Macaca mulatta: one gene and its partners. The protein of the gene in region 6 binds, or shares a complex with, the protein of the main gene of each other region. Links are inferred from orthologs where the notes say so. Each region holds a gene or a part of one and is shown on either strand. Other genes may lie near its edges.

Evidence for each region.
Region 1: CACNA1C (region 6) and CACNB1 share a complex: the UniProt entries of both Homo sapiens proteins name them as parts of the calcium channel complex. The link is inferred for Macaca mulatta from reciprocal best matches to the Homo sapiens genes CACNA1C and CACNB1.
Region 2: CACNA1C (region 6) and CACNB3 share a complex: the UniProt entries of both Homo sapiens proteins name them as parts of the calcium channel complex. The link is inferred for Macaca mulatta from reciprocal best matches to the Homo sapiens genes CACNA1C and CACNB3.
Region 3: the proteins of CACNA1C (region 6) and CACNA2D1 are in contact, whole or in part, in a cryo-EM structure (PDB 8WEA), measured with the Homo sapiens proteins. The link is inferred for Macaca mulatta from reciprocal best matches to the Homo sapiens genes CACNA1C and CACNA2D1. Residues at the interface, in NP_955630.3 of Homo sapiens: Phe147, Pro148, Glu149, Asp150, Asp151, Ser152, Asn153, Ala154, Asn678, Lys1090, Gly1091, Asn1092, Tyr1093, Ile1094, Tyr1096, Gly1099, Val1101, Pro1104, Ile1106, Arg1109, Tyr1156; in NP_001353796.1 of Homo sapiens: Thr170, Asp171, Tyr173, Ile233, Leu235, Gly262, Ser263, Ser265, Lys270, Thr274, Ala327, Lys328, Gly329, Ile330, Glu366, Gln391, His392, Tyr394, Ile416, Gly417.
Region 4: CACNA1C (region 6) and CACNG1 share a complex: the UniProt entries of both Homo sapiens proteins name them as parts of the calcium channel complex. The link is inferred for Macaca mulatta from reciprocal best matches to the Homo sapiens genes CACNA1C and CACNG1.
Region 5: CACNA1C (region 6) and STAC3 share a complex: the UniProt entries of both Homo sapiens proteins name them as parts of the calcium channel complex. The link is inferred for Macaca mulatta from reciprocal best matches to the Homo sapiens genes CACNA1C and STAC3.
Region 7: CACNA1C (region 6) and CACNB2 share a complex: the UniProt entries of both Homo sapiens proteins name them as parts of the calcium channel complex. The link is inferred for Macaca mulatta from reciprocal best matches to the Homo sapiens genes CACNA1C and CACNB2.

Annotation. Positions count from the first base shown.
Region 1 is NC_133421.1:63,504,483-63,507,982, forward strand, and holds part of CACNB1 (voltage-dependent L-type calcium channel subunit beta-1), read right to left. Parts: intron 3,099-3,500; coding exon 3,003-3,098; intron 2,556-3,002; coding exon 2,370-2,555; coding exon of another isoform or gene 2,265-2,369; exon of another isoform or gene 2,156-2,264; intron 717-2,155; coding exon 252-716; 3' UTR 1-251. UniProt on the Homo sapiens protein: Regulatory subunit of L-type calcium channels. Regulates the activity of L-type calcium channels that contain CACNA1A as pore-forming subunit.
Region 2 is NC_133416.1:55,982,146-55,985,645, reverse strand, and holds part of CACNB3 (voltage-dependent L-type calcium channel subunit beta-3), read right to left. Parts: intron 1,891-3,500; coding exon 1,768-1,890; intron 1,554-1,767; coding exon 1,431-1,553; intron 970-1,430; coding exon 854-969; intron 550-853; coding exon 485-549; coding exon of another isoform or gene 456-484; intron 269-455; coding exon 249-268; intron 54-248; coding exon 1-53. UniProt on the Homo sapiens protein: Regulatory subunit of the voltage-gated calcium channel that gives rise to L-type calcium currents. Increases CACNA1B peak calcium current and shifts the voltage dependencies of channel activation and inactivation.
Region 3 is NC_133408.1:136,992,560-136,996,856, reverse strand, and holds the start of CACNA2D1 (voltage-dependent calcium channel subunit alpha-2/delta-1), read right to left. Parts: upstream 2,801-4,297; 5' UTR 2,304-2,800; coding exon 2,209-2,303; intron 1-2,208. UniProt on the Homo sapiens protein: The alpha-2/delta subunit of voltage-dependent calcium channels regulates calcium current density and activation/inactivation kinetics of the calcium channel. Plays an important role in excitation-contraction coupling.
Region 4 is NC_133421.1:76,795,464-76,799,653, reverse strand, and holds the start of CACNG1 (voltage-dependent calcium channel gamma-1 subunit), read right to left. Parts: upstream 2,801-4,190; 5' UTR 2,608-2,800; coding exon 2,379-2,607; intron 1-2,378. UniProt on the Homo sapiens protein: Regulatory subunit of the voltage-gated calcium channel that gives rise to L-type calcium currents in skeletal muscle. Regulates channel inactivation kinetics.
Region 5 is NC_133416.1:64,408,989-64,412,951, reverse strand, and holds the start of STAC3 (SH3 and cysteine-rich domain-containing protein 3), read left to right. Parts: upstream 1-1,163; 5' UTR 1,164-1,359; intron 1,360-2,704; exon of another isoform or gene 2,705-2,705; coding exon of another isoform or gene 2,706-2,771; intron 2,772-3,032; coding exon of another isoform or gene 3,033-3,083; coding exon 3,084-3,300; intron 3,301-3,536; coding exon 3,537-3,634; intron 3,635-3,963. UniProt on the Homo sapiens protein: Required for normal excitation-contraction coupling in skeletal muscle and for normal muscle contraction in response to membrane depolarization. Required for normal Ca(2+) release from the sarcplasmic reticulum, which ultimately leads to muscle contraction.
Region 6 is NC_133416.1:2,838,580-2,842,686, reverse strand, and holds the start of CACNA1C (voltage-dependent L-type calcium channel subunit alpha-1C), read right to left. Parts: upstream 2,801-4,107; 5' UTR 2,427-2,800; coding exon 2,288-2,426; intron 1-2,287. UniProt on the Homo sapiens protein: Pore-forming, alpha-1C subunit of the voltage-gated calcium channel that gives rise to L-type calcium currents. Mediates influx of calcium ions into the cytoplasm, and thereby triggers calcium release from the sarcoplasm.
Region 7 is NC_133414.1:20,104,062-20,106,977, forward strand, and holds part of CACNB2 (voltage-dependent L-type calcium channel subunit beta-2), read left to right. Parts: exon of another isoform or gene 1-105; intron 106-1,949; coding exon 1,950-2,135; intron 2,136-2,916. UniProt on the Homo sapiens protein: Beta subunit of voltage-dependent calcium channels which contributes to the function of the calcium channel by increasing peak calcium current. Plays a role in shifting voltage dependencies of activation and inactivation of the channel.

The DNA of each region.
Region 1 (3,500 bases), on a different chromosome or scaffold from region 6:
GACACTTCAGAAAAGTGGGTATCCCCCATCCATCTGCAACAGGCAGGTAAAAACCGACAGCTGGGGCTTAAGGGCCTCCCGGGAGCTGGGATGATAACGCCGAATAAACCCCAAGCTTTGAGCAAAGGCATCTGAAAGGCGGGAGACAGCGCCCCCTGGAGGCGAATACATGTTGGGTGTGAGCCCCTCGCTCCCTCCCCTCCCCTCCCCTGGGCTCAGAGCCCTTCCTCCCGCCGTGTGGCCCCTGCCTCTCAGCGGATGTAGACGCCTCGTCCCCAGCCCTCCAGCTCGTTCTTGTTGCGCCCCAAAACTGGACCCCCACCCTCAGCGCAGTAGCGGGCCTTATTCCGGCCCCGGTTCCGGTTGTCGGTCAGCTCTTCCTCATAGTCTTCTTCCTCGTCCTCCCAGGATCCCTGTCGGGCTGGGGGGGTGCCACCCCCTGCAGGGTCTCCAAGCCCTGGCCCCTCTGAGGGGTCAGTCTCCATGTCCACACATGAGTCTCCCAGCTCCGTGTAGGCAGAGTTTCGGCTGCCGGGGGTGTCGGCATCAAAAGTGTCTTGGCGGGACAGTGCCCGTAGCGTGCCTGCCCGGCCTGGTGGGTGGCTGCTGGGGTAAAGGCCTGGGGGCTGGCCCAGCTCCCCTGGGTACTCGTGCACGCTGGCGTGCTCCCCGGTGGCCCGTTCCAGCGGCTGGTCCCCAGAAGCAAGGTAGGGTCCCTGGTTAGCAGACGGACAGCACACACCATGCAGATCAGGCAGGGGTGAGAAAAACACAACAAAGCAAGGCAAGTTAGTGACAGCATTAAGAGGTCCGGCCTGGATGAAGAGGGTGCTGGCTCTAGGGGAGGGGCCCCGGGGACAAATGGCTCTGGAGCCCAGCCAGAGGACAGACCTCAGGGCATTTGCTCCTCTCTCCAGACAGGGGGCACCCGACCTTCATGGCCGTCAGCCGTGAGCCATGAGTCACCGCTTCCCCGGTGCAGGTCATTAATGCTATCTTGGGGTTAATCATCATTAACAGCTCAGTATTGCCACTCATTAGTGGTTGATTGGGTTAGTCATTGCCTTTGGTTTTCCAAATATATTAACGAGATTTCAGCTAAAACCTGCTGACCCTGGCTTCTTCGACCCACACCAGACCCCAACCTTAGGCTTCCAGAACCCCATGCTTCTCCCACCATTCCCTAGTCAGATGACACTGTCTCCAAGGCTGATGGGATTCCTCCCCTGCCCCCAACAAGGACTCAAAGCAGCAAGCTGGGGAAGGCTGCTGGGTCTCCCCCTCCTACTGAAGATGAAGAGGTGACCCAGTGTCCTCACCACCAAATGTCACATGGAGGTGGGGCACAAGAGAGGTTCCAGTCCCTCCCCTGCCATGTCAAGCTGTGTGACCCTGAGCAAACAGTTCCCCTCTCTGTGGCTTCATGTCTTGGTTGTAATGTGACGGGAGTTAGACCTGAGCAGCAGTTTCCAAACTGTTACCTAGAGATCTGGGGTGGGGTTGGGTGGGGAGGGCACAGAAGTGCTTCAGGGGTCCCCATGGAGGTGGAGGGGAGGCCATTCCCCTGGCTCCCTCAGGGCAAAGCAAGGATGTATTATCTACATCCTCAGCTTCCACACAAGATTCATTGAACAAATGGGCTCTGTTGCTGAAAACAAATTTGAAAGCTAGTCTAGAATGATTTCATGGGTTTCTTCTGGCTCTTAGAACCTTATACTTAATGGTGTGGAATCAAGAGGTGGGCTGTGGCTCCCATGGGAGGAGGGCAAGGCAGGATGGGTCTCCCATGGGAGGGCCTTTCCGGGACTTTAACTGGGAGAATGGTGGAAAATTCAGCATCAAGTCATAGAAGATGCCACATTCTGGGTCCTTCTTGAGGGGCCGTGTGGAGTCAGGGCTCCAGGGAGGGAGAGTCCAGGTTTAACGTAGGTTTCCCTGGCTCTGAGGGCCTCCGCTCTGTTGGGTCTAAAAAGGGTGTGGAGTCCAGCGAATTAGTTTATCAGTCTTCCTCGCATGTCCTTCCTAGTCCCTTGTCTTAAAAGTGCTCCCATCAGGCCTCATATCCAGCGGGCAGCAGATGCGGTCCTATGGCACCAGGCCCAGGAAGACAGCACCAGAAGCCCCAGACCCATCAAAAACCACAGACACCAGAAACTGCCGCTCATCACGTTTTTTTACAAAATAAAGCTCTTCCCTTCCTCCTCCATGTTCCCTGCACTCCAGTTCCGACCCCAGAGCGGGAGGGAAGACGGGCAGGGTGCCCACTACATGGCATGTTCCTGCTCCTGGGGCACCGCACTGTCCCGCTGCGAGGACTCCAGCCCGCCCCAGAAGCTGAGGTTTCTCCTGAGCGAGGTGAGCACCTGTACCTGGAGGTTGGAGACAGGGGCAGGGCTGGCAGCCAGGGCTGCGGTAGCCATGGTGCGGTTCAGCAGCGGATTGGGTGGCGTGCTGCTGGGCGGATGTGTGGCCTTCCAATAGGCTTCCAAGTACTCTGCCAGGTGCTCGCAGGCATCCTCCAATTGGTTCTCGTCCAGGATGATGTCAAACATTTCCTGTGAAGGTGGGGTTAGGGGGCAGGGCTGGAATGAGTGGGGCGTGGCCAAGGGGGTTGAGGGTGTGGCCTGGGTGCAGTGGGTAGAGTCAAGGGATTGAAGGACAAGGTTAAAAAGAGGCCTCTGGATGTGGAAGAAGGGAAGGAGGGCTCTCAGATCTACAGATTGGCAGAACTGCAAGAAGTTTTGGCACTCAGTCCAACTCCCTCATAGAGATAAGGCAACCAAGGCTGGGAGACAGGGCTTGACTCTCCACGGTGAAGGGTGCTTCTGGGGCTTGAACCCAGTCTTTGACTGACGGACCTGCACTCTTCTCGGAAGACCAGTTTGCACCTACAGGCCTGACCCAGGTGTTCCTGGTCACTCTGTCTCTCATGTAGGCCAGAGGAAACCGGGGCAACCCAAATGTCGTCCCTCCCTTCCCTTCCCCGGGATCTAGGCACTCACAGGTGGGCACTGTGCCAGCTTTTCCGAGGCCGCTATTTGGACGTTGAGGTGTTTGGACTGAGACTTTCCTCGGGACTTGATGAGCCTCTGAAGTACCTGGTTTGGGGAGGGAGAAAAGGAAGAGGAACTAGAGGGACTCAGGCAATGCACCCAGTCAGAGAGGCGGGTCCTGGTTGGATCAGCATGGAGAGCCAGCGTCAGGGCCCTTGAATGCTCCATAACTCTCAGCCCTGGGCACCTCTGCAGAAATGACCTCAGCAGCCCTATGTCTAGGGCTCAGGCTCTCTCCTGGTCTCATGCCAGACTTCCTTAGAGGCTGTATGAAGGGTAGTGATTCTTCTTCCCAACTTCTCTAACCTTGTTTGTAGGCCTGCCCACCCTCCTTTTTTTATTTTTATTTTAGAGACTGGTTCTCACTCTGTCGCCCAGGCTGAAGTGCAGTGGTGTGATCATAGTTCACTATACCCTGGACTCAAGCAAGCCCCCAGCCTAGCCTCC
Region 2 (3,500 bases), about 53 Mb from region 6:
AACACCACAGGCCGCATGGAGGGCACCACGTCATATGGGGGAACATGTTCCGCCTGCAGAATGGACATGAGGTCAGTAGAAACCATGGCCCTAGTGCCTGTCTCATGCCTGGCTGGTGTCAAGGCAGATCCAGAGGTTCTGGGCTCCCTCCCGTCTCTGTTCTGCCCTCCAACAATGACTGCCTAGAACACTGTCCCCAGAGCCATAAGCCATGATCCCCCCCAGCCCAGGTCCCTTCCTTGACTTACCTGCTTTTGCTTCTGCTTGGCTTTTCGGAAAAGGAAATACAAGATTAAAGTTGGTGAAGGGGGAAAGGTCCCTGGGGGCACGGTATCCCCATCCCCAGGGAGATACTGGCTTCTCCCCACCCCTTCTGATCCCTCCACAAAACCCCTTCCCACACAGTTCACTTGGGCAGAATCCCCCCTTTCCCTGTGTCTTAGCTACCCACCTACCCAAAATGGGTGGGTTGAGGGGAGGCTACCTAGAGATGGTGGAGGGGAGCGTCGGTTGCCAATGTCACTCAGGCTGGAAGGGTTCCCGGATCTCCTGAGAAGAAAGGGAGGCGAGAGAGAGGTAGAGAAGAATGTGTCTTTGTGTACATATGTTCTATGCATTATTTAATAATTGTACACATTTCCATATGCTTTATCTAGTGAGACAGGTGTACACACAATATGTGTGCATTCGTGTGTGTGTTTGTAGATTTGTTTAGTGTGAGTGTGTAGAGCCGGGCATATGTGCATGTGTATTTCAGGGGGATATGCATGTGTGTGGCATGCATGACGATGTGTCCTGTGGGTACAGTTCAAGTGTTTGGGGTGTGTTTACTGAGTCACAGCCCAACTCTCACCTGGCCTTCTGCTCCTGTTTGAGCCGGATGCTCTCCAGGCGCTGGGGGCTGGGGATGAAAGCGATGTCCCCGCCCTCTTTCACTAGCCGCCCGATCCACCAGTCATTGCTGTACTTCTGGGGGTGGGTGGAGCAGGAAGGGTGGTGAGAGGAGCGCCCTGCCCAAGTCCTGGTTCTTCAATGTGAAGAAGCCAGCGAGGCAGTCACTGAGCTGGTCTAAGGAATGCAATGCAAGGGGCGGTGGGCAGAAGGGGCCAGGGGAAAGGGCAGCCAAGTTCGGGCCACCCAGGATTTCTGAGTGAGGCACTGCAGCTGTCATAGGGGACCTCGGAGGCAGCTAATCTAACTGCTCACTTGATGGACATGGAGACTGAGGCCCAAGCCAGGTCTCAGAAGGATGGAGACCCTGGGGATGAGGTCTTAGATATGAGGGGTGGACAGGTGGGTGTTAAGGAGAAGAGCTGATTAGCTTGGGGAATTAGACTGAGGACTGAAGTAAGAAACATTGGGATCTGGGGCAAGAGCAAGAAAATGAAGTGTCAGAGGCTTAGAAGTGTTAGAGCACGGGGGTCGGTCACCTCTTTAATGTGCAGAAAATCTTTGGCCTCAAAGTTGACTCCAGAGCCCTGGACGGGGCACTCCTCATCCAGTACGCCACAGTAGCTGACATTGGTCCTCACCGCAAATGCCACAGGTTTGTGCTGGAGAATTTGGCCATTAGTGCAAGTGAGAGAAGCCTCGGAGCACCCCTTCCAGCTTCAGTGCCCCAACAGCAGAAGGCCGTGGCCTCTGCCCCTCACATGCACCCTCTCACACTCAAGGACATCCTGCCCAAGGAAACCTTGGGACTTAGGACCAAGTGCAGGTTTCCACCTAGTTTGGCCTCCTGTCTTGCCCCATGCCCAGAAAGTATACCTTGGCCCTTTCGAGCTGCTGCTGAGCCTGGCTCTCTACTTCACGCCGGGCACTTTCCCGGTCCTCCTCCAAGGAGACGTCTGAGTCCAGAGATGGGCGGCTGGTGTAGGAGTCAGCTGAACCCTGGGTTGGGAAACAGGCTGTGACTCCCAGGCTCCGGCGTGAAGGACGCTATGGAGGCACCCTCCTCACCTTACAGTGTTGCCTCTATTGCCCCGTTTCTCCATCTCCAAGGGGGTGGCTGGGTCCCTATGGCCCCTCCTATCCCCTGAGAAGGGCCCCGGTGCCTCTGAGGCTACAGGAAACCTGGCCCCATCTATAGGTGCAAAGATCTGGGCCCCTCCTCCCCCAAACCTATTAATACTACAGCTTTGAATAGAGCCTTCACTTCTCTCTTTCCTCCCTTTTCTCCCCTCTAACATGTCCTCTGAGCTGAGGGAAGGGAGGAGTGCTGAAGATGATGTATTAGAGATGATTCTGGATCCAGGAGACCCAGCCCTCTTGTTCACAGCAGCCTGCAAAGCAGCCTGGACATCATCCCTTTAAGATGCCTGGCAGGAGTCCAGCCAGCAGTAACAGTCAAGAGACGCTGGTTGGCACAGCACCAGTCCTGAGTGTGGGGATCCAGCCATCTGCCCCCTAAGATCCTACTTTCCCTACTCCAACAAGGCTCTGAAGGCTCTCAAATGGTGAGCCCTTCCCCTTCCAGGGTGAAGAGGAGGACACAAAGCTGCCAACTCCTAGAAGTTACCTCCCCTTTGCTCTCCCCACCCCCTACTTTTCTTCCTCCCACACCTGCTGGGGCAACTGGCCAGATATAGGCAGCAAACAAGACACAGACCGAGAAGAACACAAAGCTGTCTCCCTGGACGCAGGTGAGGCTGGGCCATGCCTACCACTTGGCCTACATCTCCCCAGTCCTTTCCCAGGCCCAGGGGACACTGGCCCTAGAAGAAGGCTATGCTAGTGCCAGGCAACTCAGCTATGGAGCAGGACCCTGGGGATGTGGGGAGTGGGTAACATGAGCAAGGAGAGTCTCTGAGTCCTGCCCATAGAAAAGGTCATAGGCAATGAGGGTGCATTTGAGGGTCACAGAGCTCAGCTTCAAGGCCATGAGGGAGAGGCACAAATGAGTAAGGGATGCTGGACTTCGAGACAAGAGCCCAGAGGTTAGGATGTCTGGGTTTCCTCCTCTGCCTACGGAAAGAGTCTTTCGTTTCCTGCCTCAGTATTCCCTCTCTGTGGGGAGAAGCCTCAAGTGATACTTCCCACGATTCTGAGATGCCAGTGGCAGAGAGAAGGGATAAGCCTAAATAAGGGGTTCATGCAGGAGTGTGTGTGTGTATAGGGGAAGGGGCTTTAGAATGTCCTTGGGTGGAGGAATATTCTCTCAAGCTCACTGGGCACGACCACCTACAGAAGGCAGCAGAGGCCAGACTCTCAGAGGAGAAGGCAAAATCACACACCTGCTGTCCACTGTGCCCTCTACCCCCACCCTGCCTTGAGCAAGAGGGCTGTTCAGCTGGGGGTCAGCCCAGGCTCTCGAGTCTTAGGCTAAAGACAGTGTCTATAGTACACCAAAGGCCTGAAGATAGCACAAGGGGGAAGGTTCTTTCGTTTTACAGAAGAGTAGAGTCTGCCCGCTGTTGCTCATCTCTCCTGAGAACAAAATGAGGCTGGATGGCAGCAGGAAAAGTGGGGGTTGAACCCCAGAAATAATCTTGGCACAGGGT
Region 3 (4,297 bases), on a different chromosome or scaffold from region 6:
AAATGGCACCACATCTTCATGCAAAAAAAATTGCATTTTTTTGTTTCATAAAGTTTATTCAGAAATCTAACATGAAGTACAAATGTCAACCATCAGTTCTTTCCTCAGAAGACAGTGTTACTAACTTTTCAAATGAAAAACTGAAGATGCCGAAGGCTTCCAAAAATATTGCTAAGATTACCTACAGGAGATTGACTTCGCTCCACAAAACCTTTCATTAAGTATTTCATTCATGAAATAATCAATGTCCTATATAATCTGAAAATATCTTGAATTTTCATTGTTAAGAAAATTTCAGATCCCTTCAAAGAAAAGAAATTGTGGTGTCCTACTTCCCATTTTAGCCCACTATTTATACTCTTTCCTGTCTAGTAAATTTCTGATCATGAAAATTGATTTACTTATAATTTTAGGAAAGCATTATTGCAGATGTTCTTACAATAAGGATTTTTACATTAATGTTTTACCATAGTATGTTGAGGAATAAAAGGTTGTATTTTGTTGCAGCTTTCTCCAATGGTATGATGATGTATCCCCTCCCATGACAAAAATATTGATAGATTGTCAGTTAAAAACAACAGTGTAAAAATGAGTAATAGGAACACATTTAGAAAGTGACTGTTTTTTAAAGAGCCACTTCTTTATTTGACACAGAATGCAAGCGACTCACTTGAGTTCTCACTTTACAGGCCAAGCAACAAAAAGGCTTAAAAAATTAAATGGAAGTGTGATGCCTTAACAAGAGTAAATAATTCTGAAGCACCCTTTAGGGTGATTCTTATTCTTTTTATGTTCAAAAATATCCGACTGGAACATCCTGCCAATTAAACGAAGATCTCCAGATGGCATTTACCCTTCTGCTTCATAACAAAAAGGATCTGCAATCAGTTTTATGAAAGATTACCTAAAGAGGAACATTACTGTAAATCAATGACAACAAAAATTTGACACTCCCCTTCTAAGGGATAGAATGTGCATCCTCCAGATTCTTGCACTGACACCTAACGTAATAAATACTTAAAACTGAATCTTAAATAATAGCCGCAGGGTTTCAACCGGTAAAGATTCACTGTTACTTTCCACCAAAAACTGTATTCAGCACTCAGCCAACAAAGGACAGCAAATAATTCCCAGCAGCATAAATACCGGGAAAGCTACCTTGGGCTTTGTTTTTGTTATGTAAAATGCATTAAAGTGACTCATGCACTTAAGATTACCTACCCTTAGAAGCTTTAAAGAAGCTTCAAGAACCAAAATAAATGCTTTCCCAGAAAGCCGGGAAGGCTATTCGGTGCATTAAGAAATATGTATATATTTATATGTGCCACTGAGTTTGATTCTATTTTGCTGCCTAAGAGAGGAGAGAATTATTATTTTTCATTCCCTTCCTGTCGTGTGACTATAGCTACCTATAAGCCCTCTATTTCCAGAACAGCAGCGAGGTTTTTAAAAGTTATTTTAGAAATGTTAAAAATAAAAGAAAATTGCAGGAGACTGGAAACAGTCCCTCCTTCAAAGAACAGGCTCTATTCATTTGAAGAACAGGGACCGCGTGTCTGCCGACACTTAGATGTTTCAAATAATGGGGTTGGGGAGGTTGGATCGCTCGGTCCCAGTACCTGCGAGCCCCCTGCGTGGACAGCACGCTCGGCCGCGGGGAGCCAGCACGCGTCTAACTGGAAGGCTGTCAAGTGCTTCCAGTAATGTGGGATAAAACGAGTTTGGGCACTACAGCAATTAAAGAGCATCTCGGAGGCCAAGTGCGGGAGAAGTCCACGCTACCTCCGCAAGCCTGAAATTACCTATTTGTAAATTACCCAACCAAAACATAACTTTTTATTGAACTGGGTTGAATGAGAACGGGTGAGCTGGCTGGAAACTTTTTTCCCCAGTACAGCTGAACTCTGAAGTCTAGAGAATCCCGTTAGAGACTGGCTGAGACGCCGCAAGTCGTCGGCGGGCGCTTCCCGGGACAGCCGGCCCCCGTGCCCGGCCCCGCGGAGGCGCCCGAGACGCCGGTTCGGGGCGCATTCCAGCGGCGAGCGGCGCGCACCGCCCGCCCGGCCTCTCCGCATCCGAGCCCGGCTCCCCGGCCGCTCGCTCCCCACCCCCACGGGCGGAAAAGCCCCGCGACTCGGGAACCGACCCCCACCCCAGACTCCCGCGGCGCCCCTCGGCCGGCGCTCCCTGCCCGGCCCGCCGACTTACGTGACGGCCGAAGGGAACGGCTCCTCCGACGAGGGGCCGATGAGCAAAGATTGGAAAAGTGTCAGAGTCAAGGCCAGCAGGCAGCCAGCAGCCATCTTCGCGATCGAAGATCAATGCCCCCTCCCTGCCCAAGCGGGGGAAGGAGCGGCGCTGGAAACCGCGGGCGGAGGAAGAGCAGCACACGCCGCCCGGACCGCGGGCGTCTGGAGGGCCGGCAGCGCCCGGGGCCCGAGGCGCGGAGCCGCGCGGAGGACGGCGAGGGCGGGAGCGGGCGACGGAGAAGGGGCGGTGGCGGGCGGACCCACTAGCGCGCGTCGGTTGCTCCGCGCCGCGGCCGCCTTGCCTCCGCCGCCATCAAGGGCGACTTTGGAAACAGACCTCGGCGAGCCCGCAGGCGCTCGCGCGCTCTCGCTCTCCCTCTCGGTTTCCTCCCTGATTTATTCCCCCGATTGCCGAGGCGAAGGCGGAGGCGGGGGCGGGGGCGGAGGAGGGGTGACGGCGCTGGAGGGTGGGGGTGGCTGCAGGAATGGGGGAATGGCAGGCAGAGAGACTTGTGGAAGCGAGAGGCTCCGTCTGGCTTCTCAGGCAAGTCAGAGGGAGGCGGCTGGGGGTGGGCAGCGGGAGGGCTGGGCGTCAGAGCAGTCGGGCGGAGACGGGCCGGGAGCAGCCCTCCATACAAGGCAGCCAGGAACTCCCAAAGTCGGCGCCGGCTCTCTCCCGCCGCCCGGCGTGCGCAGGGGGAGCGGAGCAGCCCCGCGGGGCTCCCGGGGGACGGTCAGCCGCCCAGCGGGCATCCACAGGCTGCAGAGGCTCCAACCCAGGACTTGGCTCGCGTCTTCGGGAGTTATTTTTGCACATGCAGGCAGCGTTCCCCCCAGCCCTACTCCCAGGCGCAGAATCCACTGCCTGCCTAGGAATCGTGAAGTGATTTGACAACAAATGTAGGAGGGGTTTGTATTGCATTTTAAAGCACCACTGTTGACTCTACCAGGTGGCACTATATGCCCGCGTGTGCCATAGGTTATAGCCTCTGGCGGGGCCGGGTGTCCTTTGTGCCAGCGGCCCCACGCCCAGGTACTGCTCGGCTCACCTGGCCAGGACAGAGCCTCGGGCACCGGGCTGTGGACTGACAGAGAAGTACTGACGCTGTAAAATCTTCCAGTCCTGTGGTTCCACTGGACAGAGGGGCGGAGGGACGAATTCTGCATCTAGGGAGGACAGTAGTAAAAGAAGGGCTTTGCAGCATCTCAGTTGGGACTGCCTCCAAAAGGGTCCTAATGCCCTGCTCTGGCCACTGGTCTGCCCGGCCTGACAAAGGTTGCCGAAGGGTGAGCTCACTCTTGTCAATGCGAAGGCATGAAAAGGGTAAGCAGCAGGAACAGGTGGCACTCTGTGAAATGCGCCTGAAATGTAGAGGAGGAATTAAGGGAGGGGGAGAGAGCTAGGGAGTAGCAATGTCGGACTGGTTTTACCTCCAGACTCAGGAGAAGCAGTGGCGGGCTTTCTCCTTGAAAAAACAAGGTCTGCGAATAGGCCTTTCCTGTCCAGCACAAGACTCCTATCCAAAGGGCCCCTGGTGGGCCAAAGGTGGAAATATATCCTTGCACACCTTAAATTCTTAAGCTCCCTCTAGTAGTGTATGAGAATACTTTTGACATGACGTGCAGAGAATACAATTTGTGATGACTATCCTGCATATGCAAAAATTCTGTTAAGTATCGGAGTGACTGTCAGATTTTTAATTAGCCCGTTCTTATTTCTAGGAGAAGCTTCTGAAAGAAAGAGACCCTTATTAATCGGAAATGGATTTTCCAGCTCTCTGAAGGCAATCTCCCAAAACAAAGACTGATAATACTAGTACTACTATTAACTACTGACCAGATTTTAAAAGCGTGTGTGATTTTATGATGCTTAGCATCATGAATTGTTTTTCCTTCCTACTTATCTCTCCTTTTTTAATGCTTTATTTGTTTTCTTTATGTTCTCTGCATCTCTGTCTGGCTCTTTGTTTCTTTCTTTCTACTCTGAGTGGCCTCACAAAAGGCACCCCACCGTGACTTAACTTAGTTTGTTTTATGCTAGGCATGGA
Region 4 (4,190 bases), on a different chromosome or scaffold from region 6:
TTATGGAGAAGAAGATTTTTGGAAGTTCTTTTTCTCTATCATCTTTTTCGTGATGTCATTCAAAGTTGAAACATGTAAAGCATTTACAACAATATTCGGCACATAGGGTTACGTGTATGTGCCATTATTATTGTTGTTGTTGTTAATAATAAATGAGAGGCCACATATGAACCCGCTTCCTCCCTCCAGACAAGAATGGTCCCAGGGGGCACAAGAAGGGCATATGGGGAAGGAGAAAGATGTCCATTTGCAGAGAAAAGAGAGGGAAAAAGGCAGGAACATATTTTGGAAGATGACTGGGAGAAAGGTAGTGCTCAGTGTCACAAGTGTGGGAAGTATGGTTCATAGCTGGTTAGGCTAAGAAGGCAAAGAGGTAGATCCTGGTCAGGCTCAAGGCCTGTTGGTCCAACAAGCAATGCCTGTTGGTCCCCTGTAATTGGTCTAGTCACCTCTCACCAGCCTGTCTCTTCCTTGTGTGGACTCTGCTCACTGCCCAGTCCTCTGCTCTGACTTTAAAAGGCAGATGGTTCCAAGGACGGGTGAACAGGACTGTAACAGCACGTCCCTATGCGCGGTCCCTGAAGAAGCTGCCCTGCCCTGCCCTGCCCAGGGGAGTTGGCTGGAGGGATTGCCTGTTTATGGGTGTGCTTGGCAGTCGCCAAGGGGCATGGGCATCCGGGCTATGCGATACCCTGCCAGCACATGGCCACACCTGTCACCCTCAGCCCTGGGACTCGGTGTTTCTATAACAGTTGGGCACTTACGAGTCTTCTGGGCGTCCAGTGGGCGTGAATGAGGGAGGGGATCTCTGGAGCAAGCAGCAGGGAAAGAAGAGGGAGCAGAGATATGGGAGGTTGGGGTGTTGGCTCTTTGGTTCACATGCAGACTGCAAGATCTTTGGGGACTCAGCCCTAGTGTCCTTGAAGGACAGGTTTCAAGGAACACCAAAGTCTGGTAAAAGAGGGAATAATCCTGAAAACCAGGTGGGACATCACACTGACATAACCCTGCTCCACTGCCACTGTGGATGGGCGTCTGTAAACCTGGGAAGGGATCTTACATTGCTGAGAGTCAGTCCCATATTTTATAGAGGAAGAAGCAGAGGCTGAGATGATCTTTGTCCTCGCTGGATGGTCATTTGAGGGTAATGGGCAATGGTGACTAGATCCCTGGCCGCCTGGTCTCCACGTAGCACCCTTTCCTCTAAAGTGCTGTATTTGCTAAGAATCCAGAAGCCTCGGCATTTGCAGAATAGAGGCTAGTCATGCAACTACCAGGTACTCCTGAAAAGGAGCTTACCTTCGACATGTGGTTCGGTCACATGGTAGGAAATCGAGGAATACGCTTAAATTACAGGGTGAGGAAATGCTTTGTAACTCTGACAGGGTCTGAGCTAACGGAGGATGCATAATGGACTGACGTCCTGACAAAAGGGCGGGCGGAGGCCAGGCACGGTGGCTCACGCCTGTAATCCTAGCACTTCGGGAGGCCAAGGCAGGTGGATCACCTGAGGTCAGGGGTTCAAGACCAGCCTGGTCAACATGCCAAAACCCCGTCTGTACTGAAAGTATAAAACTTAGATGGGTGTGGCGGCGCATGCCTGTAATCCCAGCTACTGGGGAAGCCAAGGCAGGAGAATCACTTGAGTCCAGGAGGCGGAGGTTGCAGTGAGCCAAGATTGTACCACTGCATTCCAGCCTGGGCGACAGGGCAAAACTCTGTCTCAAAAAAAAAAAAAAAAAAAAAAAAAAAAGGTAGGGGCAGGTGGCTCACCCACAGCCACGTCCTGCTTCACAGGCATTCAACCTGTGCAGCTTCTCCAGGCCCAGGGCCCACAAGGGTCCATGCTTGGATTCATGTGCTGCTATCGCTGCCTTGAAATCCTTGGTAATTTGGAGCAAGGAACCCTGCATTTTCATTTTGCACAGGACCCTGCATATTCCGTCGCCTGTCCTCTCTCCTCCCCTGCCTTGAGGCCAGGGACAAACCTGCCAGCTCCATGGTTTCCCCCAGCCTGAGGACACAGAGCCACCCAGCATGTCTTTGCAGGGAGAGAGTGACCAGATGGAGCCCAGAAGTCCCTGGGCTGGTAGAGCTGCGGTTCCCGTCTTGAGCCTGCCCAGCTCTCTGTTCTGGGCGAAAAGCCCCAGGGTCCAGCCAGACAGAAATAGCTGGGACAAACGCCCTCGTCTTACAACCCAGCCCCAGCCACCAGCACAGCACATGCAATTCAGATCTTCTTCCCTGGGCAGAAAGGGCTGGGCGGCTGCCCTATCTCTAGCCTGAGAAACCTGCCTTCCTTGGCATGGGCAAATTTGTCCGGGGGACGACGGGGAAGGGCGGGAGGTGGGGATCGGGACGGAGGGTGGGTACGTTACCCCCGGGCAGGGTGATGGGCCCGCAGGTCTTGCTGTCGTCCATGGGGATGCGCTTGGTACAAATCCGCCAGAGGCCGAAGTGGGCCGCCTCGCAGGTGGTGTTGTGGTGCTCCATGTGGGGGCTCAGCACAGCCCAGTGGTCGGTTACCACGGCCGTCATGGCCAGCACGATGCCTGCCAGGATGCAGAAGAGGGTCACGCGGACCTTCAGCGTTTTGGTCTGGGACATGGTGGTCGCCGAGGCGTGGGTGCCCTGGGCAGGGTCCGGCGGCTGCGTCTCCTCCGGCAGGTGACAGCCGAGCTGGGGGGTGGCGGTGGTTGTCGAGTTGGGAGTGGCCACTAAGTTTAGTGTGCCTGGCTGAGCCAGAGTGGGCTGGCCCTGGGGCTGAGGGACGCGGGATGTGCTGAGCAGCTGCCCAGACGCGTCAGGGGCCTGAGGAAGGCTGCTATTAATGCCCCTCTCCAGGCGTGGCACCGGGGACGGCTTCTGCTCGGGTTTCAGCGCTGTCTGCCCCTCTGGGAGCCAGAAATACCCCAGTGGGGGGCGGGGCAAGGAGAGAAGGCTCTGGATGGTGGATTGAGGCCTCTATGGAGTAGCAGCTCAGGGTGCCTGAGTTGGGAGGGGGCGAGGGGTGGGCAGCAGGGCCCCAGGGGTGGAGATCTGTCTGCTCTGGGCTGATGGGAAAGGGCACCCCAGGCCAGGGGAGGAGACCAGGAGCTGCAGGCTGCACGGCCGTCCCGGGCTCCCACATTGTAAGCCTACTACCGGCGGGGCAGTGAGTAGGTTCTCATCCTGGGATCTGGGGGGCCTAGGATTCTGTCTAGGGACATCCCAGGGACCCTGTCCGGGGCCTGTGGAGTCCACCTCTCAGGCAAGCGTTTTAGCCACAAACCCCACAGCATCCCGCAAACCACAGGAAGATTTTAGGTGGTTCCCAGGCCTGGCCTTACCCAACTCTGATCCCTCCACGAGAACATTACTTCCTTTTCAATTCTCTTTCCATCCCCAAAACTGGGTCCAGAGCAGAGCTCCGTTCGAGGTCAGTGTCATTACTGCCCGCAAAGTGTCCTCTGAAACAAAGCGAGAACGGCCTGAAGAGGACGAGGAATCCTGCTGGACTTGGTTGTTCTGTTTTCAGGGCACTGTGTTTGGTTTTGCCTTCTACTAACAGCAGGTGATAACGATTTTCCAGTTACGTTTTAATTTGCAAAATATGTGTGTGAGTGAAAAAGAACGAATAGGTTGATTTATAGGGGATCATCAGGAGCTCATGGGTGTGCGGATATGGCAGAGAACACAGAAAGCCTGGGATCGACCACCCTCCGAGGGTCCTGTGCGCCTGCCTGGCCCCCAGGCCTGTCCCCGAGGCTGCGGCCTCTACGTCTCTCCTGGGTTGTGCCATCTCTCCCTTCTCAGCTCACTGGGTGGCCCTTTTTGGGTGTAGCCGAGAGGCTGATGCATGATCAGGAATAGCCTCCTGAGCTGGGTGGGGCCTTGAACTTCAAAATTCTTGCCTCAGATTGACACGATTTACAGAGACTCTGCCCATGTGGACAGAAACATTTCGGCCTCCAGCCTTGGAATCACAGAAAGTTCATGATGATGATAATAGGAGCAGTGGCTCATCTTCAGTGAGTGCTTACTATCTAACAGGCACTCTGCTGAGCCTTCATCCATCATCGCAGTTACTCTTCACACCAAATCCACAAGGGGACTGTGGCTGTTTTTGCCATTTCACAGTAACACAACTGTTACTGCCATTTCACAGACAAGGACATGGACACTCAGAGACGTGAAGTCACTTGTCTAAG
Region 5 (3,963 bases), about 62 Mb from region 6:
GGAGCTTGCCTGACTCAGTCTCCAACACAGTCCTTTATTTCTTACAGATACAAGGAATAAAGCAGCACTGCATTGCCACCTCTAAATTGCTCTCCCCTGAGATGGGAGTATCTCCTCTTTCATCTATGTCACAGCCCAAAGAGTAGGAGAAGGGTAAACCCCTGTGAGATCAGAATGGCATCTGTCTCTTTGATCCATCAGTTACATACTGAGGCATCAAAGGTGGGAGATGGAATCAGGGAATCAAAAGGGTTTAGGAAGTGTGAGGTTGGCCATCCTACCTTTAAGAGTTTGCAGTTCTCATGAGGAAGGGGACATTACTTAGAAATTATTAAAAAGATTCCTTATGTGGCAGCTATATCCTTCTGTCTAGTGTTAACTGGCCCTTTTTAATAGCCCTGGTAATTCCATTCACCCTGAGGACAAAATTTTGCAAGAAGGAGGGTGGGGAGATGTCTCTGGGAGCTGATGGAGGGAATGAAGCAATACTACATATTCTTCACTTTCTTACAGGATAGCAAAGTACTTCTCCAACCACCCACAGATAAAAAGCAATCTAACCATGCACGGTGACCCACGCCTGTAATCCTAGCACTTTGGAAGGCCGAGGCAGGCAGATCACCTGAGGTCAGGGGTTTGAGACCAACCTGGCCAACATGGTGAAACCCCGTCTCTACTAAAAATACAAACATTACCTGGGCATGGTGGTGGGCGCCTGTAATCCCAGCTGCTTAGGAGGCTGAGGCAGGAGAATCGCTTGAACCTGGGAGGTTGCAGTGAGTCCGGATCACTTCATTGCACTCCAGCCTGGGTGACAAGAGCAAGACTCTGTCTCAAAAAAAAAAAAAAAAAAGAAAGCCATCTAGTATGGCTGATAGGAGAGCTCTATGCGTTCGAATTAGTCTTTTTTTTTTTTTTTTACCCTGTCTCAAAAAATAAATGAAAAATAAAAATAAACTCCCTTTAAATGTTATATGAGCATGAACAGAAACTGTCCCTTGCTGAATTTGGCCATTATTCACCTGTTCACCTTAGATGAAGAATCAAGGAACAGCAGCTCTGGAGGGATGGGAGGAGTTAGGGTCCAGCCCTGCCCCAGACCTCTCAGTGTCCAATTTCTCTGTGTCAGCTGTGTTTCTCAGCTGTTCACTTTCCTCCAGCCCTGTCATTTCAGCCCTGACACCAAGGCAGGAGGTTAGGAGGTCTACAAATAGCGACTGGGTAGCTGGTGTGAACACAGGGTACTGGGGGGGCTTAGCCCCCAAGGAAGAGGACCAGTTTTTCCCCAGCACCACCATCAAGGCCTCGGGGCTCCCAGCTCCCTCTACAGACTGTGGACTGATTTAGGGAATCCCAAACGTAAGTTACCTCTTCATCCTCTCGATTTCCACGACTGCTCACGCCAGCTGCCCTGATCTATAATCTATTCAGCTTCTTCATTTCTTTCCTTGTCTGTGAGTCGTTTGGGTTTTAGGAGTAAAATTATTATTCTACTCTAGGATGAGTTAGGATTGGAGGGGGGGTGGGGGTGGGGTAAAGGGAATGAAGTAGTAAGGGAAGGAAAGGCTCATATTACCCTGAAAACTTAAAATAGCTGAGCCCTGAGGCAGGCTGGGACAGAACTAGGCACAGGGCCCCCAGGGCTCAAGAAAGAAGTAGGGGAGGACAAATGTCTGCAGTCCATCCTTCCTTGTGCGCACACGAGGACACACATTAAACCTCTTGAAGAGAGGAGATCTGGGAAGGTATGCATCACATCTCTGTTGCCCACAGATTCCCAAGAGAAACAAAGTACCTATAGGAAAATAACATAAACCATGCAGCCTTGAACACTGTAAGGGCTGTAAACTATGGGGTCTCCCCTCAGGATGGAAGGATGAGTATCAGTTTGAGGAACTAATTGGGGAGCTCTTTAGTCTGTTGGGATTTATTTATTTATTTATTATTTTTTATTTTTTTTGAGATGGAGTCTTGCTCTGTCACCCAGGCTGGAGGGCAGTGGCACAATTCTGGCTCACTGCAACCTCCTGGGTTCAAGCGATTCTCCTTCCTTAGCTTCCTGAGTAGATGGAATTACTGGTGTCCACCATCACGCCCGGCTAATTTTTGTATATTTAGTAGAGATGGGGTTTCACCATGTTGGCCAGGCTAGTCTTGAACTCCTGATCTCTAGTGATCTGCCCGCCTCAGCCTCCCAAAGTGCTGGGATTACAGGCATGCACCACCGCGCCTGGTCATGTTGGGCTTTTTCCTAGACTTCCATGAAATCTGTTAATAAAACCTGCCAAATGATCTGTATTTGGCCCAGTGCAGTGGCTCACGCCTGGAATCTCAACACTTTGGGGGTTGAAACGGGAGGATTGCTTGAGCTAGTTCGGGTAAGCCTAGGCAACAAAGCAAGACCATGTCTCTACAAAAAATAAAAAGGTAGCCAGGTAGTGTGCACCTTGTGTTCCAGCTACTCAGGAAGCTGAGGTAGGGGGATTGCTTCAGGCTGGGAGGTCAAGGCTGCAGTGAGCCATGATCATGCCACTGCACTCCAACCTGGGTGACAGAGTGAAACCCCATCTCAACAACAACAAAATCTCTAATCACGTTTCTCCAAAAACCTTCCCTTTGAGTACCGCCCTACTGCAAGGGACAGAAATAAGGGGGAGAAGAGTGAAAGGGATTAGATTTCATAGTGGGGTCCAACCTCTTGCAGGATGACAGAAAAGGAGGTGCTGGAGTCCCCTAAGCCCTCTTTCCCAGCAGAGACTCGGCAAAGCGGGGTGAGTCTGGGCCTGTGACCACTGGGTGTGGGGGGCCAGGAAACCTTTACAGCTGAAGAAGAGTGCTTAAATTGATCTCATTTGTGTGTGACTCATGTTTTGCTGGCCAGCACCTGCAGTCCCCAATACCAATACCTGCCTAATCCTGGGGTACATTCCTTGCCCAAAACTAGAAAACTGTCTGTTTGCTCTAACACCCCCCTACTCTAGAGAGGGTGACAAGTCCTTTTAACGTTGGGTTTTCTTCACTCCCTCCCTCAGCTACAGCGGCTGAAGCAGTTACTCAGGAAGGGTTCTACAGGGACAAAGGAAATGGAACTTCCCCCAGAGCCCCAGGCCAATGGGGAGGCAGTGGGAGCTGGGGGTGGGCCCATCTACTACATTTATGAGGAAGAGGAAGAAGAAGAAGAGGAGGAGGAGGAGCCACTCCCAGAACCTCCTAAGCTGGTCAACGATAAGCCCCACAAATTCAAAGATCATTTCTTCAAGAAGCCAAAGTTCTGTGATGTCTGTGCCCGGATGATTGTTCGTGAGTCATAAAGGGGAGTGAAGAGAGTATGATGTTGAAGGCAGAGGTTGGGGAGAGGGCATACAAGAGGAGTATTTGTAGCAGATGGGCTGTGGCTAGAGTTGGTGTAAGGCAATGCTGTTAGAGATTGAGCAAGTAAGGTCCCAGACAGAAAAGGGAACCTAAGAGTAGCAGCAGTGGTACAAAGGGAAAGGGCAATCTGGAATCTTATCTGAATTTTCTCCCCCTCTCCCAAGTCAACAACAAGTTTGGGCTTCGCTGTAAGAACTGCAAAACCAACATCCATGAACACTGTCAGTCCTATGTGGAAATGCAGAGATGCTTCGGCAAGATCGTGAGTAGGCTCTGGGGAACAAGGTGTAGAAAAGAGGTGACATGGACGGGCACAGTGGCTCACACCTGTAATCCCAGCACTTTGGGAGGCCGAGGCAGGCGGATCACGAGGTCAGGAGATGGAGACCATCCTGGTTAACACAGTGAAACCCTGTCTCTACTAAAAAATACAAAAAATTAGCCGGACGTGGTGGCGGGCACCTGTAGTCCCAGCTACTCGGGAGGCTGAGGCAGGAGAATGGCGTGAACCCGGGAGGCGGAGCTTGCAGTGAGCTGAGATTGCACCACTGCACTCCAGCCTGGGTGACAGAGCGAAAAAAAAAGAAAGGA
Region 6 (4,107 bases):
AGTAATAAATTCTCATTTATAGTTGGAGAGTACATATTAATTTAATCCAAATTAGTATAAAGCTTTAATTAAGATAGTTTTGTTTGTTTTTAATGGCATTAACTTTCTAATAACGTTAATTTATTTAGAAAGGGGAAGGTTGTTACTACTGTTTCCCCCAAAATGTTCATGAGTATTAGTCACCCGTAAAATAGAAACTGCTTCTCATCTGCTTTGAACCTTTCATTCTTCCCAGGTCATGGGATCACTGATTTGTGAGGTGCAGTAAAACCATGTCATATGAAGAGAAGCAGACCAAGGGCCAAAGATAACAGTGCTACGTAGACTCTCAGTGGCCAGTGAAGATTTTATTTTACAAGATTGTGTCCGTGTTTGGTCAGTAAAGCTAAGGCGGAAGGTGAATGGAAGAACATTACTTTAAAGGCATTAGAGAACATGCTGGAGGAAAGCATTTTGAGTGCAAACATTCCAAATGGGGAAGAAGTACAGAATCCGCATAGAGCCGGCCAAACACAGCCTGTGTTTCCCATCTATGGATGCCAGCACGCAGGCAGCGTCACTGCTGCTCGAGTGTTTACTGCTGTGAAAACATTGCCACTACCAGAAAGCTTAATTCCCTTCTTCTTTCTTTTCTCTCTTTTTCTCCCCCTCCGTCCCTCCCTTCCTCACTGATCTCCGCCCCCCCTTCATTCCATCCTTCTTTTTTTCCTTTAGAGAGTCCACATGAACTTTGGTTTAAAAAGACTAATTCCAGTCTTTTATAACCAAGCCTAGAACTCAATCCAATATGTAAAAACAAATTTGAATGCTTCATCTATTTCATTTGAAAGGCTAGGAGAAGGGCATATTTTAGGGGAAACAGATTAAACCAAGAAAAATGACTTTGGCTAGCTTGTTTAGCCTTGTTAGACCACAGATTCCTCATTAGGGAAATAGGTTATTGAACTGCATGCTTCTTACCTGACTTCTGGCTCTAAAATTTCATGGTTCTATTTTTCTGTTTTTTTTTAAAATATCTTGAGGTCTTTCAAATGCCTAGTAACTGTGTGTGCATGTGTACTACCATATGCTAGTAAGTAGTCATCATCAGGATGGCCAAATTTATTAAAGCTTGATCTAGATAAATGGTACAGTAAATCAAGAAATACTATATTTGAATGAAATCTCAGAAACAAGTGTTTACACAAATATATGATTAGATGTTCTCCATCCTTACATTGAAAATACTATTCTACTCTTTTGAGAAAGACTTCATGAAAGGAATGGAGTTTGAAGGAATTTTTAAATTTTTGGTTTATCCTTAGATGCCCAGAAGAGGTTTGTGTAATTTAACACTCCCTTGTTTCCATGGCTTTCCAAGTAAAAAGAAGGAACTTAAATGCTTTCCTTGCTGGATACTAAGAAAAACATATTTCCCTATCCTTTTGAGAGGAATTAGTGAAATTATATTAGAAAGAACATTACCAAATCAGATGTCCTGCCTATTTAAATTTTACCCATGTAATTATGTGTTTATCATCCACTTCCTAATTGAATGGATATATATCTTCTTTTAAAAATTTACACAAACATTATCACATGTCCTCATTAGACAATTATAAGCTATCATTCATGATTTGGAGTTGTATGGTATCCGGGTAAAATATAAAACAAATTATAAATATCTTAAAAGAACAGATCGAACAGAAGTATTAGGAACATAAACAAGATGAGGCAAATCCCCAAAGAACATGTAAAATGAACTAATGCACCATGCTAATAAGAATCAAAGGGTTACAAATGAAAATGTGCATTTGAGTGACATTGATACCACCTTTAATGGCCTCTTAACTAGCCTCTTAAAATTTGACCAGCTTTTTATTTTTCCACTGAAGAAATTTAAAAAAGAAAACACCACTATTGAATATAATCAGCTTGCTCTCTGCCTTGTCTTTGTGGACCTACAAAATCCAGACATGAAGTCTAATACGGAAATTTTGATCTCCTTGATCTTTCTGACAGAGTTAAAAGGAAAGTAAAAGATTGGTGTTTTATTATGTAAAGGCAGTATTGCATTTCCTGTTGCCTCAAACATCACTTTTTTTCAATTGAGAATTTCCAAAGAACGGCATAAACCAGGATGGTGCAGTTATAGGCAAAATTTCACAACGGTGTGTGGTAAATCCTGATTAAATATGGAGAGATGAGTTCTTAGAGTGAGGCAGTCACATTCTAAGTATCATTAGAATATTTAGAGTAAATTTCCACATGTTCTTCCTACTCTTTATTTCGCTTTAGGGTTTCTTACCTCCAGGAGAGATGTAGAAATAGTTGAGTTGAGCTTCGTGCACCAAAGTACCCTTAAACTTGACCTCCGTGTCGGCAGACAGGTGGCTGGGAAGCGGCTGGTATGCAGGCGTACCAGGCTGAACAAAGGCTCGAAGCATTGTGAATTTCCAGTTGTATATTAATTGGTTGATTTTTAAAGCTAAATAATTACCCTGCTCATGATCTCTTGTAATTTTTTAAAACCCAGAAGCCATTCCTGCAGTAACATTTCAGTGCCACAAAAGTTTACATGGCCATATCATATCGCTGCAAGTTTAGGTTACAGTAAAATTACTTTTAAATTTTAGAATTCTAAACAAAACAAAACAAAACACCTTCTTGCTTGATTCTTTTCAACCTTGTATTTTCTGTCTTCCCTGCTCTGCTCCCAGCCTATGTAGGGATGGGCCTCTCACCCAGTGGCTTTACGGGAAAACTTGGATTGAAATGTGAACTTCATGGTTTCTGTCAGCCTGTCAGCTCATCACCTCCCTAAGGCATGATGATCTCTGGCTTTTATATATCTCCACAGACTGCTTTGATAGACCCTCTTGTGTGGAAGAGTGATAGGTTTGTCCAGGGGTTGGTAGACCTTAGGGCTAAGAGGCAGGAAACTTCAGTTGGAATGCGAACTTTAATGGAATTCACAGCCTCTTTCCCAGGGGAATGCAGCTCAAGTTGCAAAACTATTTTAGGGAGAAGAAAGTTAGGCCCAGTTCTGCATTTTATCTTGGTGCCACTTTTTGGTAGCCAGAACTCTTGGTTAATGTTTCTTTTTCCTCCTTGGCTATTTAAATTTTCTGTCCAGACTAAAATGGGATCAAAAGAGTTATCTCAAAATGATCTCATTTTAATTTTTAAAGCCATGTTGCTTTGGAGATAAATGATTGGGTCCTAAAGAAGGTCTTCACAGTGTCTTCAATAATTACTGCAAGCTCAGTCTTTCCTTCATTTTGCTTTGACATCTGAAAGATGTTCCATGGCATTTTCCCTCCCTAAGTCTGCATTTCAATTATCTCGTGGTAATGACAATGTCAGACTGTTTTTCTATTTGTATCAACAGTTTTCTTGGCATCCCACCCTTACAAAAGCCTAATTCCTTATGTCAAATGCCACAAATGTATAACATCAAACAAAAGATACCCAAAATATTCCTATTACTAGAGCCTACTCATGAGACAACAATGGCCGGCTTTTCCTCTGCCGTTGGGCCTCGTGTTTCTGAGTTATGCTCTATTTTTCTCCCTTACTGCCACCTTTCTCCTTTGATGGTTTTGGAAAAGTCAGTCTTCAAGGAAAGAAAACTTACACTGTAACCAAAAAAATAGACCAGGCTTCTAGTTTTGTGACTAAGGTTAAAGTCACCAAGACACACAAACATACTCAGATTTATTAAGTGGTTGAACATCAGTGATCCAGTCTGCTTTGACTTCAAGAACGTGAGGGTAGGCAGGTTAGTGTGGGAATCTGTGTAGGGAATCAGAGTAGGGAATTACTGTTGATGGACTGGAAGCAACCTTGAATATGAAGTTTCAAGATACACATTCAGTGATCTTGAGATAAAAGAATTTTGTTTTGATGTAAAACCTCTCATAGCACATGGGCTTCAGAACTCAGATGTTCTTTAAAAAAAAAAAAAAAAAAAAAAAAGTCAGTGTACCAAGGAGGAAAATGTGTATGTATTTTCACCTAAGAGAGTAAAATGGTCCTCTTCAAGGAAAAGCTGGAATCTTTTCCCCTACTTCCCCCCTACTTCACATGCAGGTAGGTAAGATAAGATAAAAGATTTCTGGTACACCG
Region 7 (2,916 bases), on a different chromosome or scaffold from region 6:
TTTTTTTTTTTTTTTGAGACAAGGTCTTGCTCTGTTGCCCATGTTGGGAGTGCAGTGGTATGGTCTCAGCTCACTGCAGCCCTGAACTCCTGGGCTCAAGGGATCCTCTCGCTTCAGCCTTCCAAGCAGCTGAGACTATAGGTATAGGTGCATGCCTCCATGATCGGCTAACTTTTTTTTCCCCCCTATAGAGATCTTTGTCCTTCCCCCCTGCTAAATCTTCCTGTGTTGCCCAGTCTGGTCTAGAACTCCTGGCCTGAAGTGATCCTCCTGCCTTGGCCCTCCAAAGTGCTAGGATTACAGGCATGAGCCACCATGTCTGGCCAGAACTGGCATTATATTTTGAAAAAAACCGTCAAAACACCTGTCACAGAAGAGAATCCTCATCACTTAAAGTGGTATTCATTCCAAAGTAAACTGTCCTCCCTCCTTCCATGATCATGTTCCTTCCATGATCATGTGTTTTGCGCACAAGTAATCCAAATGATGCTTATAGCTTACAAAAAGCTTCAGTACATCCTGCAGTAACTTCACGCTGTTAATATCTAACACAAGATCCTGGTTCCAAAAATTTGGCTTGTATGATGAGTCTATTTGGAGTTGGTATATTATTCATTTCTGATCATAGAGAGCAAGTTGTCTGCTCTTAGTAACTGAGACATATTTTCACATGGTCTTAAATCAATTTCTAAGGAATAAGTTAACTAGATTCTCACTTGTCGTCTATGCTTTACATACAATGCCTTGGGGCTATAGAGCTTTCCTAGGTTTAGTTTTGGAGGCAGGGTCTTGCTCTGTCGCCCAGGCAGGAGTGCAGTGGTGGCCTCTCGGTTCACTGTTGCAACCTCTGCCTCCCGGGCTCAAGTGATCCTCCCACCTCAGCCCTCCAAGTATCTAGGACTACAGGCACACGCCACCATGCCCTGCTAATTTTTGTATTTTTAGTAGAGATGGGACTTTGCCATGTTGCCCAGGCTGATCTTAAACTCCTGACCTCAAGTGATCCGTTCACCTCAGCCTCCCAAAGTGCTGGGATTACAGGCATGAGCCACTGCGCCAGGCTTTTTTTTCAAGCATAGCTATTTCAGGCGCTATGAATATTTGATTGCTTAATGTATGTTAAAATTTATAATAAACACTAAAAAATCTTTTGAAAAATGACTTTTTTTCTTCTCAACTGTGAAGTTTGGACAACGTCAAATTATCAGTGGTTTCGGCTGCTTCTGCCAAATTTCACATCCTAATCTTACCTTATTAATTTCTAAATTCAGATTTCATAATCTTGGGCTGGGCATGGTGGCTCATACCTGTAATACCAGCACTTTGGGAGGCCAAGGCGGGCAAATCACTTGAGGCCAGGAGTTCAACACCAGCCTGGCCAACATGGCAAAACCCCATCTCTACTAAAAATACAAGAATTAGCCAGGCTTGGTGGTAGGCACCTGTAACCCCAGCTACTTGAGAGGCTGAGGCAGGAAAATCGCTTGAACCTGGGAGGCCAGGGTTGCACTGAACCAACATCAGGTCACTGCACTCCAGCCTGGGCAACAGAGTGAGACTCTTGTCTCAAAAAAAAAAACAAAAGAAAGAAAAAAGATTTCATGATCTTGATGTCAAGAATAGGCTTCTATCCTATTCTGTTCAAATATATATACATCTCGTTTGTATCATAGTATCCATGCCTTTTTTCATTGCTGATAGACAACTTTTCTGTGCTGCCATGCCCTTAACAACTGTTACCTTTCTGGCCATTATTAGTTAAGCATTCAGTGCCCTAAACAATGATTTGAGGTAGTCAGACACTTGCTAACTAAATAAAAAAGGAGATAGTAGCAGCGCTTATAGAAGCAGGAGCAAGTACAAAGGGGTGCAGCTCATGAGCCCCTTCCTCCTCTTATGGAGGTGGGAAGGGGCTGCGTCAATGTGGTCTGGAATGTCTGCCTCTGCAGGAGTTGTTCGATGTGATCTTGGATGAGAACCAGCTTGAGGATGCCTGTGAGCACCTTGCCGACTATCTGGAGGCCTACTGGAAGGCCACCCATCCTCCCAGCAGCAGCCTCCCCAACCCTCTCCTTAGCCGTACATTAGCCACTTCAAGTCTGCCTCTTAGCCCCACTCTAGCCTCTAATTCACAGGTAAGGGGAGTTTTTCTATATATCTATATATACAATCTTCATAGGAAAAAAGGTAGCCTATGGTGACACCTCCAGGATCCAAGCCCAGTAGCCTGCTTGGGGCTTGTTCTAGTATATTAACTCAAAGCAAGTCCAGCATGAGCCATGTACCTGTAAGAAAAGCACCATCGACAGAACAAACATAGACTACAGAAACTTTCTACAGTAGAAACTTTCTACTTTAAACAGTAATATAGACTGTGGAAGCGGATCACCTGGATTCAAATCCTGGCTCCACCTCTTACCACTTGTGGGGCAGATAACCTGGGGCAAATTTCTTAACTGTTCTTACCTCAGGAATAATAATGGCAACCTGTCCATGAGGCTGCTGGAATTAGTAATCTCATGAGATGATCTTATAGGGCTGTTGTATTAATGAGTTATTATATACAAACGGTCTAGAACAGTGCCTGTCCCATATTGTATCACTGTATCATATAAGGATTTGCTATTTTTAATATTATCACAGTCAAGCAGAGATAGTTAAGTTTACACCCCTGTATAGAAAAATCTCAGGGACCTGCATCTATATTTGAGCTGCAGGAGAATATATAAAAGAACACTTGCCCTGCCTTTTTTTCTTTTTTTTAAGGAAAAGGTTACCATGCACACTGTTCTAGGCACTTACAAAGTCCAGTTTAATACACTACAAGCCTTATAAATGCCACTGGATGTTACCAAAGGGATGAAGCTAGGTTAGACTTCATTTCGGATGCTTAAAAAGGACTCCACTTGAATGCGC